Kluyveromyces lactis: one gene and its partners. The protein of the gene in region 5 binds, or shares a complex with, the protein of the main gene of each other region. Links are inferred from orthologs where the notes say so. Each region holds a gene or a part of one and is shown on either strand. Other genes may lie near its edges. The genes, in order: POL2, RFC4, RFC2, RFC3, CTF8 and RFC5.

Region 1 (4,969 bases), on a different chromosome or scaffold from region 5:
CGGAAAATTTTGAAATCAAGCTGCGCAACGGCAAGAAACTATTTCTTTCGTATCCTTGTTCGATGCTTAACTATAAAGTTCATCAAAAATACACTAATCATCAATATCAAGACCTCGTCGACCCTATGAAGTTCAAATACCAAACAAAAAGTGATAATTCCATTTTCTTTGAAGTCGATGGACCATATAAAGCAATGATACTGCCAACTTCCAAAGAAGAAGGTAAAGGTATCAAGAAGAGATATGCTGTGTTCAACGAAGATGGTTCATTGGCTGAACTAAAAGGTTTCGAACTAAAAAGAAGAGGTGAACTACAATTAATCAAAAATTTCCAGAGTGATATTTTCAAGTTATTCCTGGAAGGAACAACCTTAGAGTCATGTTACGCTGCAGTAGCAACAGTTGCTAATAGATGGCTTGATGTATTAGATTCTAAGGGTGCAATGCTCGAAACTGAAGATCTTATTGAACTGATTTGTGAGAATAAAAGTATGTCAAAAACATTAAAGGAGTATCAGGGACAAAAGTCAACTTCCATTACCACCGCAAGAAGGCTCGGTGAATTTTTGGGGGAAGCAATGGTTAAAGACGCAGGCTTACAGTGTAAGTTTATTATCAGTTCCAAACCACATAATGCACCGGTGACAGAAAGGGCTATTCCTGTTGCTATATTTTCTTCCGATCTTCATGTTAAGCGCACATTTTTAAGGAGATGGTTATTGGACTCAAGTCTCAATGACTTTGATCCAAGGGCTATTATCGATTGGGACTATTATAGAGAAAGATTGGCTTCTGTTGTTCAAAAAATTATCACAATACCGGCAGCATTACAAAACATTAAAAACCCTGTACCCCGTGTTGAACATCCTGATTGGTTAAGAAAGAAAATTGCTGTTAGTGAAGATAAATTCAAACAGACTTCCTTGAATCGTTTCTTCAAATCTACCAAAGCTCCACCTGAAGTCAAAGATATAGAAGACTCTTTTGATGAACATTCCGCGAATAAATCACGTATCGCTAAGGTCACGTACAAGAGAAAGAGCAAAAGACGTAATGGGGATACAGCACTAGAAGAAGAGTCTTTGCTGCTACCCTCTGAAATGCCTCCGATGTTAGATGATTATGTGGGCTGGTTACAATATCAAAAAACCAAATGGAAGATCCAGCATATTGATCGAAAGAAAAGAGAAAAGCTATTTGGTAAAACTTCACGAGCATCTGATCGGTCTGCTTTGGGCAATTTGATAAGAAAGCACGTTGAATCATATGCAGATAAAAGCTGGGAAATTTTACAATGTAAACCGTCCATCGATTTAGGTGTCGTAGAAATTTATGCTTTAATCGATAGGAAAATCCAATTGCTGAAAGTAAACATTCCCAAAACTGTACTCATGAACTTCAAGACGGAGAATTTCCCCTCGGGAGGGATTGAAAACTGTATCGTCGAAAAGTCCAACGCGGAACTGCCTAACGTGAAAGGCATCAACAATGAAAGCAGTAGTCAATTGTTTAAACTGACAATGTCAGAAGATACCTATTTCAACGAAGTTAATAAAGCATCAAGCGTATTGAACAACGAGAATGTTTTGGGAATATACGAGAGCTCAATTTCTTCGAATGAAAGAGTCATAATGCGGCTAGGGACGTGTATTCAATTCAGCTCTGAAAAAATGGGTGCGCTAGGAAAAGGTTTACAGAACGGTTTTCATATGAAGAATTTACATCCTGTTGAAGCAGATAGATATCTCCAAAGGTTTGACCTTGATATTGCCTACCTTCTACATTTTGTAACAGATATCGGCTATGAATTCTATTTCTTGTATAAAGCATGGGAAGATGTGGTAGAAATATTTGTGCTGAAACCAAGCACTCATGCTCAAGAAGTTTCTAATAAAGCTATAGAATCTCTTTACAACGAGATATACGAGAAAAAGTTCGAAAAGCTCGATAAATACTATGACTTAATCAAGATAAACAAGAACGTTTCGTTTAACGTGAATGATTATACTGAACTAAAGCGTTTACTGAAGGACCTTTCAAAGATGCTGCAAAATATTAAGGAAGAAAAAGGATCTCACACAATGGTGATTCTACAATCTCCATATACCCATAGAGTTGCTAAATTGTTGCAGCCTTTGAATGCCTTCCCTGTTGTTGAAATAGCTACTGCTGAAACACATTTGCCAGCTTTGAACTGGCAGGGACAATTAATGAGGAAAGCGGTCAATCACATATTGTCTCTTGGTTCTTGGATCTCAAATTTGATTACTCTCTCAAAATACAGCAACATTCCAATATGTAACCTCAAAGTCGATAATCTCGGATACATTATCGATTTGATGTACGCTCGCCAGTTGAAAAAGAACAACATCGTTCTATGGTGGAATGATAAATCGCCGTTGCCTGACCACGGTGGCGTTGAAAGAGATTTTGACCCACGGAAAGCGGAGCTCATGACTGATTTGGTGTTCCCTATTATGAATAACCCTGATATCTATGATGACGTTATCTTCGAAATTAGTGTCTATAACTCTGTTGTGAACACTGTTTTGAGCAGCACCATGTTGAACGAGGCTGAAGGTACAGACCTTGCCCAAAATTCGACATCTAAGGAAGAATCCTTCGGTTTTGTTGAAGATTCTTTCTCTTCTTCGGCCTTGTCAGTGCTTCGCGCACTGTTGAAAGAGCTTTGGGATGATGCCTTAGGTGATAATATCACGGCTGACTCATTAGTACACGCATTTATAGGATGGGTGTATAACCCTGACGCGAAATTATTCGATTATGCTTTGAGATATCACATCCATACTCTCACTCAAAAGGCCGTGTTACAGTTGATCAATGAATTTAAGCTGGCAGGATCATCTCTCATCTTCGCAGACAGAAACAAACTGTTAATCAAAACTCAGAAGCGTTCCGTTGAGAATTCTTACGCCTATGGGCAGTATCTCATGAAAGCGATCAGATCTAAACCAATGTTTGCCTATCTAGACTTGAAAATTGATAGATATTGGGATGTCCTGATTTGGATGGATAAGTATAATTATGGTGGTAGAGCATGTCTACAGATTGAAGATAAAGAAGTTCAGAGTTTCCAGGCTTATTCTCATTGGCATATAAAGGATTTCTTACCTGCAATTTATCAGCAAGAGTTTGATGATTGGTTAGTAGTCATACTGGATAGTATGGTTAAGACAAAGGAAGCCTATCATGAGCGAAATGCATCCACACAAAGATTAACCCAATTACCAAAGAATACACTGGCTGATAGTGACGTAGATAGTCAAACTGACTCTCTAGGCGGTTTTACCCATAATTTTTCAAAAGCTCTCATCAAAAGAGCAGAGAAACTTTACAAGAACCAACAGGAATATATTCTTGATCCTAACTTCGGCAAGGATTATCTATCTCCCACAATTCCTGGGTCGCATCTAGTTGTGAAAAATCCGCTTCTTGAGTTGGTCAAATACTTATCACATATTTTATCACTTTCCAGTAATCATTTATTAGAAGGAAGGGCGCTAAGGAAAGAACTCCTAAAGACATTTGAAATACGCGAATTCGACAGATTAGCTGAATTCAAGGATCCAAGTACATCTTTTGTGATCCCTAGCTTCATATGTGAGCATTGTTCTTATATATCAGATATTGATATTTGCAGAGAAAGTATGGAACGAGTCTTCATATGCCAGAGCTGCAACAGATCCTTGAATAAAAATCTCATTGAAGAGCATGTGATCGAACGACTTCAAGCCCAAGTTGCATCGTTTATTACCCAAGATGTTAAGTGCAATAAATGTCATAAGATCAAAGAGGATGCAATGTCACCTTATTGTCCATGTTCAGGAAAATGGGAACTTGCCGTATCTAAGGAATCTTTCATGGCACAGTTACAAATTTTCAAGAACTTGGCGGAAAGCTTTGACTTTAGAACATTGAAAGAAACTTTGAATGATTTCTTATAGGTTCAAGTCCCTGGCATCTGTTGTATTATCTTTTAGTCTGCTGATGTGTTTACATTTAACATTTATGAGTGTTTATGTGTTAAAATAGATCTGAAAATAAAAAATATATATACACATAAAGGAAATTGTTCTGAACTTAGCATGGTTGAATTCTTCCCACCTGAATGAAGACGCACTATGTGTTATTTACTGCGAATCAAGTGACCCAGAATGGTACGACCTGATGTTAGATATAGAGAAGAACAACTAGATTTTTTGGAAGCGTTTGTCGATGCCGATCCAAAACTGAGCCCGCCAATCTTGTTCATAGAAGGGCCGCATGGAAGTGGTAAGACACATACCCTCAAGAAGTTTTTTGCTTGCAATGAAGAAATCATGAACATTTTACTACCAGCGAAAGATCTGATATATAGCAAATCCACCTGTCAGCGGTTGGCTACATGTCTGCGTCAATTGCTACTGAAACAATTTCCTAGTGTGGAAACCACTGATCTTGATCCATTTGAAGCCGAGGACGTATATCTTTTGCAGAAATTTATCAATAAATTGTTTATCCGATTTAATCACTTGGTAGAACGCGTTAACCTTTATGTTATACTCGATGGGCTGGATGATAATTCACAGGTGAACTTGGAAACACCTACGCAACTCATGGCATTACCTGGATCTATTCTTCCACAAGCGATGATTCAACTTCGGTTAATAATCTCGTTCTCCAAATCCTCATTCTTGTCCAATTACTCAACGTTCAAGGTTCCCACGATCTTCTTCCCCAAATATAAACCACTGGAGATTGAATATATTGTATCACAAACACCAGGTTTCTCGGATGACCCGCTGTTATTGGAAAAAATGGATGAGATAGGATGCGGAAATACAGAACAATTCAGGAGTGAAATCTTCGAAAAATATATCCATTTCCTGATAGAATCATTAATTGTATATACAGGTTATGACCCCACTGCACTGATAGACATAATGAGAATTAAATGGAGGTGCTTTGT
Region 2 (3,549 bases), on a different chromosome or scaffold from region 5:
GAATTCGTTACTCAGTGCATGACGCAACTCGCAAAGTTTCCTGAGAACAGAAGACCATTCTTTGCTTGAAAACCTTTCTTTTCTATTGAGATGAGGGTACGTCCGGAAAAAAAAATGAAAATTCCATTGGAAGGAAAGATAGTCCAGTCAAATAGAAGTTAGTCATGCGTCGTGCGTGATGTTTTGTACTGTCCTCAAAGAAAAAATGAAGCCCTTGGGGAATTCTAGATCTGCAAATGGATATGTTTGTTGCCGTTTGCAGTCATTGGTAGGGTATGAGTGTGGTTAAAAACCGAAGACTGGTTTTATAGCTATGTAGTCTACTTGTCAGATGCCCATATGCAAGGTGTAATTAACGTACAATTATATAATAAAGGGCTGGCTCTATTCAGCAGAAGCAGTTTCAGAGTCTTCTTTTGTAGAGTCGACTTCGAGTTTCCTAGGTGGAAGCACGCTTTCGAATGCTTCCTTCCAGTCCTTGTTGTCGAAGTATCTCAACATTAGTTGGACCATATGGCTGGTAGTCAACACTTTCCTTCCAGCAAGATTGATAAATTCTCCGATAGGAAGCCTCTTGGTTGGGATGTTAAGTTCCTTTGCCTTGTTGTAGCATAGGTTCTTATGTCTGTTTTTATCTACTATACCACCTACGATATAAGTGGTCCCTGGTTCTAAAGTATCCAGTTTTTCTTCTGTATCAGCAGTCAGATAGACGGCATTCTCAGTGGGCAAGGTTGGATCTGCAGTAAATTCGAAATTTTTCCACTTGGTGTAGTTAGAGTTGCTCAAATCGTTATCGAATCGTTGTTTTAATCTCTTATCGAAAGATGTCACTTTAATCTTGGCGTAATTATTCTCTCTTTTGTTGCTAGAATAAGCTCTAGTGACTTGTGTAGATAAACTTACAATTTCGCGATCGTTCATTAAATCATCGAAGGAACAGTCAAGAATAATAGATATGCCGGAATCACTTTGATTCAAATTAACTTTTGGTGGACGCTTTAATTCTTCAGGGATTTCTTCGCCTCTATCAGTATATTCCTTGAGCTTTTCCCTACGTGCCAATTTGGCACGATTTCTCTTCTCTTTGCGGATTTGTGCATATTCTGCCCTCGTCTCTTCAAAACGCTTCTTCCTGCAGATCTTCTTCCATTGTGATTTTGATATGCCTTCCGGAGGAGGTGGAAATTGTGGTGCCCTAACTATCGGCTTAGGTTTATCTTTGACATCTGAGGTATCAGCTGGAATCTCAGCATTTGAATTTTCACTGGTATCAGACATTTGAGCTTGTCTTCAATTCTTTATTCTCGAAGGACCATCTGCGATGAGCTTCCATATCGTTGGAATCTTTGAAAGCTTTCTCTAAACATTCGTTTCTTCTTCTGCATTTTTCATGTTGATAAAGTTTGAAAGTCACGTGGGTTTTATGTCACTGGATAATCGCTTCCTGTTTCGCGATTAACACAACGATTCGAATTATATCAATCCCGAGAGCGTGACACCATATTAACGTGCCAAAATTGATACTAGTAAGTATGTCCAAGCGCCTGATTGTACTTCTTCTCTTCTTGTTTTTTTTTTGGTTTATCAACATGTATTTATATCTAAATCTTTGAAACTTTGAAATGTAGAGAGCATTTAATTCACAGAGCCAAATGAAAATAATGGTTCTGTCGAGGTTGAAAAGAAAATACATAACTCTGGGTCACTATCAATTGACCGATTAATAACTATAACAGGGGGTTCAGATCAGTTCTTAGAAGATTGATTTTGAAAGATGTCCTACGCTACCAAGTTGGAATTACCATGGGTTGAAAAATACAGACCGCATTTATTGAAAGATATTGTAGGGAATGAGGATACGGTGCAACGGCTACAAACCATCGCTGCTGATGGTAATATGCCTCACATGATTATCAGTGGCCTACCAGGTATTGGTAAAACAACTTCGATACACTGTTTGGCACATGAGCTATTAGGTGATGCGTATTCACAGGCTGTATTGGAGTTGAATGCGTCTGATGACAGAGGTATCGAAGTCGTCAGAAATCAGATAAAGCATTTTGCCCAAAAGAAGTGCACGCTACCAGCAGGTAAGCATAAGATTATCATTTTGGATGAGGCAGATTCAATGACCAGTGGTGCTCAGCAGGCTTTGAGAAGAACAATGGAGTTATACTCTAATACGACGAGATTTGCTTTTGCATGTAACCAATCTAATAAGATAATTGAACCTTTACAATCTCGTTGTGCAATACTACGTTACTCGAAACTAACTGATGAACAGGTTCTCAAAAGATTATTGGAAATTATAAAGCTGGAAGATGTTCAATACACGAATGATGGTCTCGAAGCTATTATCTTCACTGCCGAAGGTGACATGAGACAGGCAATAAACAATTTACAAAGTACAGTTGCTGGTTTCGGTTTAGTAAATGGGGAGAACGTTTTCCAAATTGTTGATTCCCCGCATCCACTAATAGTCAAGAGAATGCTATTATCTGGATCTCTCGATGAATCGCTGCAATATTTAAAAGAACTTTGGGTTAAAGGCTACTCTGCGGTAGATATAGTGATAACTTGTTTCAGAGTAATGAAAAATCTCGATGAAGTTAAGGAAACGGTTAGATTGGAGATGATCAAGGAAATCGGCTTTACACATATGAGAATTCTTGAAGGTGTCGGGACTCATCTTCAACTATCAGGTATGTTAGCTAAAATTCAAAAGCTTAAATCGTAAATAGACTATTACCACATAATTAACATCCAAAAAGTAATCATAATGATTGTAAATATTTAAATGACCCAAAGTTTTCAAGCTTGGGGACCTATAGAAAGCATATAATTAAACTACTCCCCCGTTCGCTCACCGTCAGCATTTCGTTTTCCTGATGTGTGTGTGTATTACAACTTTCAGAAAAAATACGAAAAGCCTGAAATATATCAAAAAGAACATCGACTACACCGCAAAGAATACAGTTGGAAAAGAAAGATACTTCAAATTGTATTACACTCTGTTCGTGACAGAAAACCATATATTGAAATTATAATGGATGTTTTAAGCGATCTGTTAGAATTAGATGCAACTGAACTTCAACTGCCAGAGGATTCTCCATCAGGTAAAGATGATAACATTGATACTTACCGAGCCTACGTTGACTCGACCCTAAAAAAAGAATATCAATTACATACTGAATTCCTCAAGGAATTTGATGATCTCATGGAAAAGAACCAATCAATACGTACCTCTACTGAGACACTTATACCGAGTTTGAAAAATTACTTTGCCGAATTTAACAACAAGTTGAACGATTTGACTAAAGATCTCGATTTCGTTAAGGGTAAATTTTCTGAGTTTTCATCGTTACTGAAGAGTAACTCTTCGAAGTTGAAAGACATAAGTCCCATCGTTAATGATTTGATAATCTCTCCTGAAATAATATATCAAGTGTTAAGAGGCAAGATTGATCAAAAATGGATTGATTGTATTGATTATTTGAACGATAAACAAGAGATATTCCTGAAGTATCAAGAAGAAAATAAATCAGA
Region 3 (3,565 bases), about 840 kb from region 5:
TTTCATCCAAACAGCGTCCTCGTAGGCTATCTATCAAGGGTAGCGATGGTAAAGACTATCAATATATTGTCAAGGGCCATGAAGATATCAGACAAGATAATTTGGTCATGCAATTGTTTGGTTTGGTTAATACTTTATTACAGAATAACCCCGAGAGTTTCCAAAGGCATTTGAACATTCAACAATACCCTGCTATCCCATTATCACCTAAATCCGGTCTTTTGGGATGGGTTCCAAATAGTGATACATTCCATGTCTTGATCAGAGAACATCGTGAAGCAAGCAAAGTTCCACTAAATATAGAACACAGAATAATGCTCCAAATGGCTCCTGATTATGATAACCTAACTCTATTGCAAAAAGTGGAAGTTTTCACTTATGCTCTTGATAACACCAAGGGCCAGGACTTGTATAAGGTTCTATGGTTAAAGAGTCGTTCATCAGAATCATGGCTCGAACGTCGTACAACTTACACAAGATCGTTAGCCGTCATGTCAATGGTAGGATATATTTTAGGTTTAGGTGATCGTCATCCAAGTAATTTGATGTTGGACCGTGTTACTGGTAAAGTTGTCCACATTGATTTCGGTGACTGTTTCGAAGCTGCAATTCTCAGAGAGAAATACCCAGAAAAGGTACCATTCAGATTAACAAGAATGTTAACGTACGCAATGGAAGTCAGTGGTATTGAAGGTAGTTTCCGTATCACCTGTGAGAACGTAATGATGGTCCTAAGGGATAATAAGGAGTCCTTGATGGCTATTTTGGAAGCCTTTGCATACGATCCATTAATCAACTGGGGTTTCGATCTACCGACTCAAGCCGTGATGGAACAGACGGGAATAGATCTACCTCTTGCAAATCCAAGTGAGTTACTAAGAAAGGGCGTCATCACCGTTGAAGATGCGGCCAAGATGGAACTACAACAAAAGGCAGAAGTCCGCAACGCAAGAGCCACTCTTGTTCTCAAAAGAATCGCTGATAAACTTACTGGTAACGATTTCCCAAGGTATCAAGAACTATCTGTGCCTGATCAAGTCGACAAGTTGATCCAGCAAGCTACATCAGTAGAAAACCTATGTCAACATTACATCGGCTGGTGTTCGTTCTGGTGATACCTAAACAAAAAGAACATCGCTAAAAGCATTATAGACTATTGAATCATTATATCTTCTTATACACTATGTATTTGTAAGAAGGTGCGTATACCTGTCATTATTTATCAAAATAAAAATCATACTCATCAAGAATACTTACCTTCATAATCCAATACCCGAGCTTGCCATTTGGATAGGAGTACCTTCAATGAATCTAAAGGTTGTAATTCTTCATCGAAGTGTCTAGCGGACAACACCCTGTTAATCCGTAGTTCGTCTTGAGCTTGCTTTAAGTCTGCAGCAACTTGAGGGTCTGCATTCCCATAAAGCGTGGTAAATAGCCTCAATTTACCCACAATTTCCCCTATTTGAAACCCATACTTAGCACCCAAGGGGAAGGTATCGTCAAACCCAGCTTGCAAGTTTTCCTCCTTCGCTGACGAAATACCATCTAAATACCCTCTTTTCGAATGTATTTGTTGAAGTTTCTTCACTTCTAGCGACTCTTGAGGACCGGTACTGGCCTCATTATCAGAGCCCCATATATTTTCCTCATCTGTCATCTCCACGGTCATTGGTCGTGAGGTTATGATCAATATCTTGGTCCTCTAGTGGACACCTCTTTATCATCTCATCGTGTACTCTGTATTTAATAAGCTTTCAACATTGAAAAATTCCCAGCTGAACCTTTAACGACTTTGAATGATAAGATCTTTTGGATTATAAAATATGAGAAATAAAGGTTTGTAAAGGGCCATTGAGAGCTCAAGAAGGTGTTGAGGCGCGATGTCTAGTGGAACGATATTCAAGAAACAGAAGTTGAACCCATCAGATGGTAAAGGTCAAGCAAAACCATGGGTTGAAAAGTATAGACCAAGGAAATTAGATGATGTTGCTGCTCAGGATCATGCCGTTACCGTCTTGAAAAGGACTTTACAGACTGCAAATTTGCCACATATGTTGTTTTATGGTCCTCCTGGTACTGGTAAGACTTCTACTATTCTTGCTTTGACGAAAGAGTTGTACGGTCCCCATTTATCGAACAGCAGAGTTCTAGAATTAAACGCGTCCGATGAACGTGGTATTTCGATCGTCAGAGAGAAAGTGAAGAACTTTGCTAGGCTCACTGTGTCTAAGCCATCAGAATCAGACCTTGCGAATTATCCATGTCCACCATACAAAATTATCATTCTTGATGAAGCCGATTCTATGACTGCTGACGCACAAAGTGCGCTGCGTAGAACCATGGAAACCTATTCTGGTGTCACTAGATTCTGTTTGATCTGTAATTACGTTACTAGAATCATTGATCCCTTGGCTTCAAGGTGTTCCAAATTCAGATTCAAAGCGTTGGATTCATCCAATGCACTAAGCCGTCTACAGTTCATCGCTAACGAAGAATCTTTGAAATATGAAGACGGTGTTCTTGAAAGAATATTAGATATTTCCCAAGGTGATCTAAGAAAGGCTATAACTCTGCTCCAATCTGCAGCTAAGATCGTGTTGCAGAACGATGATGCGAATACTATTACTTTGAAGCATGCTAATGAATTATCGGGGACGATTCATGAAGAGATACTACAGGATCTAATCAACGTAATAAAAGGAAAAGATCTCAACAAGATTATTGATAAGGTACAGGAATTTGTTAACCAGGGATGGAGTGCAGCTTCAGCATTGACCCAATTGCATGAGTATTACATCAAGAATGAAAGCTACGATACAGAGTTTAAGAATAAGGTATCTTGGCTACTTTTCGATAGCGATTCCAAGTTAACCAACGGAGCTAGCGAGCATCTTCAAATGTTGAACCTAGCAATGAAGGTATCTCAATTATATAACTAGTTAGATGAGTAATTAGATCAATGAATGCAAAGAAAAGTATCGATTTACTTGCTACTTATTTAGATGTAATTGCGTTATTGGCGCGGATTTGTTTGGCGCGGTTGCTGCGGGTGTTGTTGTTGCTGCGGGTATTGTTGTTGCTGCTGCTGCTGTTGTTGTTGTTGAAACTGTAGAGCCATCATTGGATGGCCATATGGGAATGCATTTGGTGGGATACCTTGAGCTGGAATTGGAACATTTTGCCCATTGAAGTTCATTGGCATACCTGACATCATATAAGGTTGTTGTGGGTGGGATTGAGGATGGCCTTGTGAAGGAACTTGACCTTGCGGACCAACTTTACTTGCTGGCTGTTTTGGAGCGCTAGGAGGCTGCTGTTGTGGGTTACCCAAGTGTTCGGGGAATCCTTTACCGTTGCTCATTATACGTGGCTGTCCCATTCCAGGTGGCGGTGGAGGAGGCATAGCATAGCCACCTTGGAAGTGCTGTGGAGGCATTCCCATAGGAGGGGCCATCATATGTGGTGGCATCCCAACTGGGAATCCTGGAGGTGCCTGCATTGGAGCACCTGATTGAGCAATGTTTTGTGGTGGTTTACCATGTTGCTGCTGCTGAGCAGGATG
Region 4 (3,544 bases), on a different chromosome or scaffold from region 5:
ACAGGTATCCACACAAGGTAAGATCTCGTAATAGTCTGAAGAAGGCTTTATTAGTTCGTTCAACATCTCATTCCGACTTTCCTCTGCACTCCGATGCACGTAATATTTGGTTTTATCAGTTGTACACCGAGGGATGCTAACAGAACATAGCCAGTTCTTATATGACGCTGCGCAATTGCTGCACTTTCGTAGCGGAGAATATACCGCATCTTGTTCTGTATCGCAGGGGATCAATTGCAACGCTAAACTGAAGTTTGAATAATAAGATTCCGCTATGGAATCGTAGATTGCGGCCAATTCGTCCTTATCGTTGTATTCCAGTAAAGACGAGGATGGTACCGAATATGCAACACCATCACAAAATCCCAATCCAAAGATGAGTGAACAAGATGAATCATCCATGGTCTCAAATAATTGCTTAGAAAATAGAACACCACCAGAATCTTCCAATTCCTTTGTGCTGGTGGCTAATTTCTTTGTGACATATGCAACGTACGTGGTTGACGAATTTAAGCCAGTTATATGGAATTGTTCCTTAGCGCTACCCCCGCGTACCGTAATAGATTTATGAACTGATAGAGTTGTAGAAGATAGAGATGCATTTTCTGCTGTATTACCATTATTAGTTCCGTTCAATGAGCCATTAGCCGATGAAATTAGATAAGGCCCATTCTGAATGGCACAAAGGGAATGAGATAGGTTCAAATTATCAAAGTATTCGGCATATTCGAACCCATAGATGTATATATCATAAAGGCTGACATCATAGATCGAATAATTAGATGTGGTCTTCGACATAGCTGTGACATTACCAGTAACCAACAAAGCAGAATTGTAATCAGTGTCAACGACATCAAGCCACGGACGTTTATCCCATTGAAAGACAAGATCACGCTGAGATATGGAAATCTGGTACGACCACCGCTCATCATCATCTGCAATTGTACTACCATCCGATTCAAATGGCTGACCAGTGGTGCTATTAACCAACTGGACCATCAGATACAACGTGGAATACGTGCCATTATTCAGCGAAGAGTCGTCAGTATAATATGGTCTTAAGGCCAAAGCTTCCAAATACCCATCGTCAAATGTAGAACTCTTTGCAGTGGTGAAGGTCCCAGTGTCGTTAGAGTTAAAAGTATAGTACAAGACCAAAGATGTATCGTTATCAACTTTACTAGGCCGTTCACAGATATTTGCACTTAAAAAGATGAACATCTCATATGTCTGTAGTAATTGTGAGAAAGAATCTGTATTGTTGATAGAAAATTCGAAATATGATTTCTGACCCTTTACTAGTGAAGCTGAAACAGGTGCCCATTCTTGCAATGAAGCAGAATCAGAACTGTTATCATTGCCAGTGACGGTATCACTGGCCATCAGGTTCTCATCGAGAAACAAATCAAAGCAGCAACACGGAACCGCAAAAACCGTCAGTAACAAGTAACATACATATCTCCATAGCATGATAGTGCAGTTACCAGTGATCAGAGTACAATTACTCTGCTACTTACGGATCTCTCCCTTTATTCAAAGAGCATGCGTTTGAACCTTATATATAGAATTACGACTTGTTCCATTTTTTTTTCTTCCATTTAACATTGATGAAAGATGAGTTCGAGCATACACAAATAGAAAGATATTTTGATGGGAGTAAAGAGGTCCACAAGGGTCGAAACAGCTCTACCCACATCCAATTGACTGATCAGTATTAGTACCAGTCGATTTGTAACAAAAAACAGAAAGAAAAACAGCAACTATGGAGAGAACGAGTGAGAATTTGCCCTGGATCGAAAAATACAGACCTGAGACACTAGATGATGTGTATGGGCAACAGAACGTAGTGAACACGGTAAGAAAGTTTCTACACGAAGGAAGACTACCTCATTTACTATTCTATGGTCCACCGGGAACTGGTAAGACCAGTACCATTGTAGCATTGGCTAGAGAGATATACGGATCGAATTACAGAAACATGGTCCTAGAATTGAACGCGAGTGACGATAGAGGTATCGATGTGGTGAGAAATCAAATCAAAGAGTTTGCCAGTACAAGACAGATCTTCAGCAAAGGGTTCAAACTTATTATCCTTGACGAAGCAGATGCAATGACCAACGCTGCACAAAACGCACTAAGAAGAATCATAGAACGGTACACCAAGAACACAAGATTCTGTATCTTGGCTAATTATGCACATAAGCTAACACCAGCACTCCTGTCAAGATGTACCAGGTTCAGGTTCCAACCTTTGTCCGAACAAGCCATCGAACGTCGTATTGCGAATGTGTTAGTGAAGGAACACTTGAAATTAGACCCTCAGGCACACGCAGCGTTATTAAGGCTCTCTTCCGGTGACATGAGACGAGCATTGAACGTACTACAGGCAGCAAGAGCTACGCTAGACAATCCTGACACAGAAGAAGTCACCGAGGATTTGATCTACGAATGCATCGGTGCACCTCACCCACGTGACCTTGAAACCATGCTGGAATCAATTCTCAAGGACGACTGGACTACCACTACATACACCGTGAACAAAATCAGAATCACAAAGGGCTTAGCACTTATTGACATGATTGAGGGGATCGCGGGCCTACTGGAACAATATGAACTGAAACCTCAAACCAGAATTGAACTTCTATCTAGACTAAGTGATATCGAATATTCGATCTCAAGAGGTGGTACCGATTCGATCCAGACCAGTGCAACCATCGGAACGATAAAACAGTGCATGGAATTAGAGGTGTGACAATGTATGCACACAATAAGTAAACTAGTCAGACGTATACCGGATCTATATACCATGTGACATGCTGCGACTGCGAAATCACGAAATAGTGTAACTTTTTCTTTCCCGTTTTTTCGTTGATTTAACGGTGTCGAGAGAGAAGCAAAACGCGAAGTTTCGTCTCGAACGAAAAGAAGTTTTAACGGATACGGTACTTAATGCATGTATAGAGTTTAGATATGGGTAGATTTTCAATGGGGACCACGAAAAAAAAGTGTCAGTTTTATAGTTTTGGAAATTACATTACTTGATTGTGTTTTAATTAGCATTTTTCTTTCCTTGGTCGTCTTGATAACTGATGCAGCTTGAAGTACGGTTAGATCAGAAGGACAACGGGTGAATTGGATTCTGAAGATCACGAAATAAAATTACTATTCCAAGATCGCATAGTTTTGGGTATCAGGTACCACCGCATTGATGTATTTACTGTAAGTAGACAATGGCAGCGTGCCTTTTTTGGCGCATTGATAAATGTGTAACCTGGAGACTCGCGAAGGTTCAAACATATATAAAAGAGAGATTAGGATCGGAAGGATGAAGCATCTTCCAGTACTGCCTGTCATGTTAGGCACAATTTTGGGAGCATATCGTAAGAGCCCAACAAGCCTATAAAGTCTAAGCATGTTCAAGAAGAAGAGTTTGGAAATTCTGTTCGATTCACCAGTGAGCGATGATATGATCAAATTTTTAACTGATCACGCTTTGAGAGTGATTCCTACACAGAACAGAAACCAAAGATACCCACCTTCACCA
Region 5 (3,089 bases):
TTCATAAGGTCCTGTGTTCGATCCACAGAAGCAGCATTTCGATTTATTTTTATTGTCCTTTTTGTTGTCCACGTGACAACTATTCGCATGTATTCCCGTTCTAAAGAAAAAAGTCAATTTGTCGATGAAGAAAATCTTGAAATTTCGTTGAACAAAGTTTTATTCTCTCTCTCTTCCAAAAGTTCTTTATGTGTTGAGGTAATTAAAGAGCTTTCATCTCCTCAGATCAACCCAATTAACTCAATTGAACCATCATAACTAACATAATGTCTGAAATTGCCCAAGACTCCAACGTTTCCATTTTTTCCAAAAATGAAAAGAAGGCCAGAGAATTGATCCTAAAGTTGGGATTGAAGCCAATCCAAGGTGTTTCTAGAGTCACTTTCAAGAAGAAGGATGGTCAAATCTTTGCTATCGACAGACCAGAAGTTTACAAGTCTCAAGGTGGTAACTTTGTTGTTTTCGGTGAAGCCAAGGTTGATGATTTCACTCAAAGATTAGCCAAGGCTCAAGAATCTCTTCAACAAAATGAAGGTGTTTTGCCAGCTGGTCAAGATGCTGTTTCTAAGGACCCACAGTCCATCCAAGCGGACATGCAAGCTGCTGCTGACTCCGCCACTGACAAGCCTTCTGCTGACGACGCTGTAGATGATGCTGAAGTCGATGAAACTGGTTTGAACGCTGACGACATTGAATTGGTCATGCAACAAGCCGGCGTCCCAAGAGCTAAGGCTGCTAAGGCTTTGAAGGAGCACGACTCTGACATCGTCAACGCTATCATGGCCTTGTCTGGTTAAAAAGCACAGGAATAGTAGATAACTAGATAATTCATTTTTACTTGTATACTTATCTACTGCAAACTCGTATCAGATCCTATTTCATTTCTCTTCTAGTTCTGGAACTTCATGAAGTGTGTCAGAGGCCTCGCTTTTGCTACTAGCTGGTGCGGCTGTGTTCGAGGGCTTTGTAGCTAGTTTGGATCCGCAATTGGAACACACGTATTGGAACGGTACACCAGCTACTGAGTAGCAGCCAAAGGACATTTTACATTGTGAACAAACTATTAACGATATTGATGGTTGTAATGTTTTTATGTCATCACCACCTGCTAGTATACCTAGGGCTTTATCGAACCATTTCTCACGTGCTTCAACATCTTGAGTCTTCTGTTTCTCATTTGTGCGCAATTGTTCCAATTCCATCTTAAGCTTCTCTAGTTGTTCATGCTTCGCTTTCACTTCATCGTCCATTAGTAACATTAAATCATCAGATCCACTTTCACCGCTGGAGTACCGTTGAATTAGTGAGTTAGTGTGATAGAAATTCGTTTTCTGTTTCAATTCCTCCATCTTCTCTTGATGTAAGGATATTAATGCTGAGAGCCTCGACTCATATTTTTTATTGAGCATGAGATAGAATCTTGTTATGGCAAGCCTTATGCATATTAGTAAAGCTAGTGCTACAATGCTGCATAAGATAGCACGCGAAGATGAATACTTCAAATAAACATATGCAATTATGCAAACCAATAACGTCAAATAATAATAAGTTACTGTTGCACGTAAACTTTTGGCTCTATCTTCGATTCCCTTCAATTTCGTTTCGTAGTCATGTATCTTATTCGTTATGGAAGATAAGTCTTTGTTATACCTTTGAACTAACTTCTTAACATCATTATCGCCACTTACAATCTTTCGTACGGCGCTCAACATGTTAAGGTATCAATATCTACTTCCCTTTGATGTCCGATCTCGAGAAACCCTTTATTTTAGGTAGTCCATTTTTTTTTACATAGTTGTTTGTAGGCTATAATGATCCTTTAAATATCAAATCCATGTTATTTCTAAATCATATTGACGAAAAATTATTGAAATTGAAGAATTCGGGAACAGACGATGGAATGACGCCAAAACAAGTCAGTTTGGGTTTCTTAAAACCTTATATATCCATACAAATATCGCTTGGATACTGCCTTTGCACCCAAACTTCTAGTTATGCCAAGTGTGGATATTTCCGTTAATCAATTGATAGATATATTCGCGGAAGATCGCGATACACCACCGACAGTAAGTACATCCTTAGGTCATGTCATGATAGAAATTCAAGGAGACTTGCAACATCCACAGAAGTCAATTGATCCTGCATTGGATGTGGACTCAAGGTTTATAGAGCATGAAGGAAATGGATTGGTACGATTTGGCATATTATCCTACGATCTGGAAACAAAACACGTTACGCTCTTTATTGGGAACAAACAAAGACTTATGGGTTCCATTGTAAAAATTGAGCCACCATTGGGACTCTTGAAATTTGACAAAGCTGATGGAACTGTTAGCCTGCGAGACGTACTCAAATATAAGATAATATTCAAGAATAGACCGCTTCCGATTATGTAGAAATAAAGACTTCTTAAGAACGTATTCTCTAACTATAAACAATGCATAAGGAGGATGATTTGGATTATAATTTCCAACCTGTGGTTAAGTTTAACTCATTGAGTCTTGATTGATTAAATACAGGGAATGGATGGGCCTCAGTATTAAATACAATCTTGCTTAGCTCAACATCATCGTCGAACAAAAGGTAAAGATATTTCAAAGTCTCTGCTAGCCAGAAACTCTCAAGATTGTCAGCTTTGTCTGTTGGTAATGAAATAACATTATGCAACGAAGTGTATGCGACCTTTTCTTCGCCATCCGCCGCGACTTTAATGACTTTAGTATGCTTGATGAAATTGCTAAAGATTTCCCATCCCCAGTGTCTATATTGTTCATTTCCTGATAAATGATACAAAAACATTAGAGATTCGACAGTTTCTGGGCGTTGGATGTTGTGTTTGTCAAAGGGCTTTACGAAATAGTCTTCGGACTCAGATCTCCACCAGTTAGGTTCAGCGTTAGGGTAGTTACTATTGAAAACAACGATTTCTGGTGACAATCCTGATGGGATTTGGTGATACATTTCATAACAAGACTTTGTCAAATCCTCAGCGAGTTCCCAGTCATTTTGTTTCGTAGGATTCCAGTCAGGACCATTCGCAGCTTCAGAGTATGGTTTACCATTCGTGGCTCCCATCGCTAATAACCCAC
Region 6 (3,756 bases), about 680 kb from region 5:
ATGTGTTTGATGATAATAACCTTAACGAGGAGAGCACAAACCAGTTGAGATCATCTGCGTGCAGCTCTATCAGCCTTTCAATTTGGAACGACAAATCTTCTCTCAGAGCAAAATCCATTGATTTGTGGGCTTCTAATGCACTTAAAAGCTCTTGAACGACAAATTTGAAATTGCTTACGTCTGTTAAGATGACAAGGAGATCAATAATTTTTCTCAATAGAGTAACGTCACTCTCTCTTTTTAACATATCAACTAATCTCGTGAGATGTTCATTTTGAATTGTCTTTATCGCAGTTGTTCCATTTACTTTACAGATTTTGATTAAAAGATCGAAAGTTGAATATCTCGTATTCAGGTCATTAGATGTCATTAGTTCACAAAGTCCTGTGACGGAATTTGAAATAGCCTCATTAGTAGGATCCAGTTTACAAGCAAAACCGAGCATTGTAAACATAACAGAATACTGAGCATTTTTGGTGACCGGATTGGCATCACTTGCTAATGCAAACGATACCGCATGTGATACACAAACCCGTAACTTACCCAGGGTCTGTTGATCAATATTCGATCCGATCAAATTCTCTCCGTTATCGCTGACCAAGACTTGTAAAAGAGATACACAATTCCCTACAATCCATGGGTTAGATACTCCCGAAAATTGGTAATCTGCATCATTTGCACTATTCTGCTTTTTCGATAGACATTCATGCAAAATCTCAGCTAGTTGCGGGATTAACCTCAAACATGGATTAACGTCAATCTCTCTAGCTATAAACTCAAGTAAAGGCAAAAGTGAAAGTAATAATCCATGATCGTTCTCATCCCCTAATAATGTAGTAATTCTTTCAATCCATAGAGTTCGTTTATTATCTTCAAGATTTGTAAGGATTTGCGGTTTATAACGAATTAAAGTTAAAAACGCCAAGCATGCTTTTCTTTTCAAAATGGCTGATGAGACAGGAGATCTAAGAATTCCGAATATCGTCTCACTTAGATTATCAGCAAAGATTTCATCACGATTCCCAACTATTCCGACGAAGTTCAACGCCAAGCTTACTGCATTAGCGTCGCCAGATGATAGATCCAGTTTCAAGCATGAAATAGTCTTCTCCAGGACGCTGTTTCTCACAACAGCATGGTTGAAAAGGAGTTCAAGTGTCATATAACCAATCCATTTTTCACTGAAGTTACTGCTTTTCAACAACTGGAAACATTGATCCAATCCGAATAACAACTCAGGAACCATGCCAGCATTAGTAGTGATATATATATATGCCATCTTAGCAACATATTTTTTCCTTTGATACCCATTGAGCCCACTTTTCTGGGTAAACTGAGTCCGTATATTCTGTAGTTCAGTTTGTATTCTCCTAGCATGCTCTTTAGTCTTCTGGTTTGCTCGAAGGTCTGCAATGAACAATTGCAAACCCTTCATGTTGTTCTGTTGATTCTGACCTAAAGCCATTGTTAATTTCTTGATTCTGACTTGTAAGACACCAAATAACTAGGAAGATAATCAAGTGGCACTGCTAATCGATAACAACTAGTAAGTGTACAGATAAAAATGGTACCTACTGCTGGTATACTATCTAACTTGATGTTGTTGTTTTAAGGCTATTGAAGTTACGTCTACTTGAAATCATTTGAATTTCAAAATGTCAACGTGAAGAAACGTTTGGCGAAATTGTTAATAAAACGCATCACGAAAAGTACTTGAGAGACAATTAATCAAAACGCATAGCAGGCGAACGAGCCATTCCAGCGAGTTACATTGAGCTACATCGACTAACAAGATTTAAAATTCCTATACGAGAATGTCTTTGTGGGTTGATAAGTATAGACCAAAGACTCTACAGTCATTAAGTTACAATGAAGAATTAACAAATCAATTGTACTCATTAACGAGACAACCTCAAGATCTTCCACATCTGTTGTTCTATGGACCCAATGGTGCTGGTAAGAAGACTAGATGTATGGCACTGTTGCAAGAAATATTTGGTTCTGGGGTTTACAAGCTGAAGATCGACGTTAGACAGTTCGTCACACCATCCAACCGTAAGCTGGAGTTGAATGTAGTCAGTAGTCCCTACCATTTAGAGATTACTCCGAGCGATATTGGTAACAACGATCGTGTTGTGATACAAGAATTGATTAAGGAAGTCGCTCAAATGGAACAAGTAGATTTCCAGGACTCCAAGGATGGTTTGGCACATCGTTACAAGTGCGTTATCATCAACGAGGCAGACTCGTTGACTAGAGATGCCCAGGCAGCATTAAGAAGAACTATGGAAAAATACTCTGGTAACATCAGGCTTATAATGCTATGTGATTCAATGTCCAGTATCATTGCTCCTATCAAGTCTCGTTGCTTGCTAGTTAGAGTACCATCACCAAGTTTGCAAGAAACTGTGTCTATCCTGCAGGATTGTTGTTCCAAAGAAAAAATAACTGCCGAGGGCAATTGTCTAGAGAGGATAGCGAATCTGTCAAAGGGGAACTTGAGAATGTCACTCTTAGCACTAGAATCTACCTCACTACAAAATGAATTGCATTTAAGAAACGATACACCTTTGAACAGACCTGATTGGCAATTGGTGATCCATAAAATGGCTAGGAAAATATTAAAAGAAAGAACTGTTAATAACCTTGTAGAATGCCGTTCCATAAATTATGATCTATTAGCCCATTGTATTCCTGCCAAAACCATAGTCCATGAATTAACGACGCAATTGCTTTCAGATGCCCAGTCAGATCCGTTGAAGTTGGCAATTATCGATACTGCATGCACTTTTGATCACCGTCTCAACCTTGGAAACAAAGCAATCTACCATTTAGAAGGGTTCATTGCAAGGACAATGTGTGAAATAGATAAATATACGTAAGTATTAACTTTTGTAGTTTGACAAACAACCAAACTTTACTCATTTGGGACTTTAAATCTTGAATCTTTGATAGCCTATTTACAGATAGTGGGATTAGCTCTCACAAAAGTTATACGTAAAAGAGTCGTTTATATACACACATCGATCTATTTCAACGAGCCCTGAACATTCTATATTCCGGTTGCTGGGACTTCAACTTTGTAATATATTCCTTTGTAGGTTTCTTCTTTAGTTCTTCAAAGTAATTGATCTTTGGATCGTCCTTTGGATCTTTTACACTCTTGATACCTACTCTTACCAGAGAATCTTTCGATATGAATTCGTATAGGCCAGGAAGCTTGGTTGCTGCCTTTCTAAACGCCTCACGTGCTACTTTCTCGTGTAGATTGTCACCTGCCATCTCAAAGATCACTTTACCGGTGGGTACTCTGACCATCCAATGGTCAAATCCACCCTTACCTTTACCCATTCTGGTCTCATTACCCTTGATACAAACAGCAATGTTTGTACACAAACGACGCCATAATTGACCGTTATTCAAAGGTCTAACGTATCTCATAATAGCATTATCGGCTTCCTTCAACTGTAACGCAGTAAGTCTCACACCTTCAGACTTCAATCTTAAACCAAATTGACCAAATTGAAGCGAATTACCCTTAGTAGAGCCACCGGTACGCACTGGCACACGACCCTTTTGCTTCTTAGTCTGGTTCTTGAAACGTGGAGCATATTCATGTGTAAAACGCCTAGCGGTTACTTGCAGACTTTCTAATGGATTTAGTGAGCGAAATCCAGTCTTGAAAACGCTGGAAAACATGGTGATCTAATTTACGATAAAGGAGGCTCACTGATCTGAAATAAGATCCTTGCAATG

What was found.
Region 1: the proteins of CTF8 (region 5) and POL2 are in contact, whole or in part, in a cryo-EM structure (PDB 6S2F), measured with the Saccharomyces cerevisiae proteins. The link is inferred for Kluyveromyces lactis from reciprocal best matches to the Saccharomyces cerevisiae genes CTF8 and POL2. Residues at the interface, in NP_012061.3 of Saccharomyces cerevisiae: Glu40, Lys87, Gln88, Arg128, Leu130, Pro131, Met133; in NP_014137.1 of Saccharomyces cerevisiae: Arg1025, Met1036, Leu1037, Glu1038, Glu1040, Asp1041.
Region 2: CTF8 (region 5) and RFC4 share a complex: the UniProt entries of both Saccharomyces cerevisiae proteins name them as parts of the CTF18-RFC complex. The link is inferred for Kluyveromyces lactis from reciprocal best matches to the Saccharomyces cerevisiae genes CTF8 and RFC4.
Region 3: CTF8 (region 5) and RFC2 share a complex: the UniProt entries of both Saccharomyces cerevisiae proteins name them as parts of the CTF18-RFC complex. The link is inferred for Kluyveromyces lactis from reciprocal best matches to the Saccharomyces cerevisiae genes CTF8 and RFC2.
Region 4: CTF8 (region 5) and RFC3 share a complex: the UniProt entries of both Saccharomyces cerevisiae proteins name them as parts of the CTF18-RFC complex. The link is inferred for Kluyveromyces lactis from reciprocal best matches to the Saccharomyces cerevisiae genes CTF8 and RFC3.
Region 6: CTF8 (region 5) and RFC5 share a complex: the UniProt entries of both Saccharomyces cerevisiae proteins name them as parts of the CTF18-RFC complex. The link is inferred for Kluyveromyces lactis from reciprocal best matches to the Saccharomyces cerevisiae genes CTF8 and RFC5.

Annotation. Positions count from the first base shown.
Region 1 is NC_006039.1:231,867-236,835, forward strand, and holds the end of POL2 (DNA polymerase epsilon catalytic subunit), read left to right. Parts: coding exon 1-3,965; downstream 3,966-4,969. Other genes in the region: ORC5 (origin recognition complex subunit 5), read left to right, coding at 4,176-4,969. UniProt on the Saccharomyces cerevisiae protein: Catalytic component of the DNA polymerase epsilon complex which participates in chromosomal DNA replication.
Region 2 is NC_006039.1:338,836-342,384, reverse strand, and holds RFC4 (replication factor C subunit 4), read left to right. Parts: upstream 1-1,777; coding exon 1,778-2,740; downstream 2,741-3,549. Other genes in the region: TRM10 (tRNA (guanine(9)-N(1))-methyltransferase), read right to left, coding at 385-1,281; VPS52 (Vps52p), read left to right, coding at 3,050-3,549. UniProt on the Saccharomyces cerevisiae protein: Component of ATP-dependent clamp loader (RFC and RFC-like) complexes for DNA clamps, such as the POL30/PCNA homotrimer and the checkpoint clamp DDC1:MEC3:RAD17 complex.
Region 3 is NC_006038.1:1,228,514-1,232,078, forward strand, and holds RFC2 (replication factor C subunit 2), read left to right. Parts: upstream 1-1,883; coding exon 1,884-2,942; downstream 2,943-3,565. Other genes in the region: phosphatidylinositol kinase-related protein kinase TOR1, read left to right, coding at 1-1,115; YAE1 (Yae1p), read right to left, coding at 1,244-1,672; EAP1 (Eap1p), read right to left, coding at 3,017-3,565. UniProt on the Saccharomyces cerevisiae protein: Component of ATP-dependent clamp loader (RFC and RFC-like) complexes for DNA clamps, such as the POL30/PCNA homotrimer and the checkpoint clamp DDC1:MEC3:RAD17 complex.
Region 4 is NC_006041.1:1,166,727-1,170,270, forward strand, and holds RFC3 (replication factor C subunit 3), read left to right. Parts: upstream 1-1,762; coding exon 1,763-2,752; downstream 2,753-3,544. Other genes in the region: MID1 (Mid1p), read right to left, coding at 1-1,470; PCL1 (Pcl1p), read left to right, coding at 3,413-3,544. UniProt on the Saccharomyces cerevisiae protein: Component of ATP-dependent clamp loader (RFC and RFC-like) complexes for DNA clamps, such as the POL30/PCNA homotrimer and the checkpoint clamp DDC1:MEC3:RAD17 complex.
Region 5 is NC_006038.1:386,085-389,173, forward strand, and holds CTF8 (Ctf8p), read left to right. Parts: upstream 1-1,994; coding exon 1,995-2,396; downstream 2,397-3,089. Other genes in the region: EGD2 (Egd2p), read left to right, coding at 267-797; LNP1 (Lnp1p), read right to left, coding at 879-1,712; MNS1 (mannosyl-oligosaccharide 1,2-alpha-mannosidase), read right to left, coding at 2,461-3,089. UniProt on the Saccharomyces cerevisiae protein: Essential for the fidelity of chromosome transmission. Required for the DNA replication block checkpoint.
Region 6 is NC_006038.1:1,065,934-1,069,689, reverse strand, and holds RFC5 (replication factor C subunit 5), read left to right. Parts: upstream 1-1,814; coding exon 1,815-2,882; downstream 2,883-3,756. Other genes in the region: APL3 (Apl3p), read right to left, coding at 1-1,465; MRPL16 (mitochondrial 54S ribosomal protein uL16m), read right to left, coding at 3,034-3,699. UniProt on the Saccharomyces cerevisiae protein: Component of ATP-dependent clamp loader (RFC and RFC-like) complexes for DNA clamps, such as the POL30/PCNA homotrimer and the checkpoint clamp DDC1:MEC3:RAD17 complex.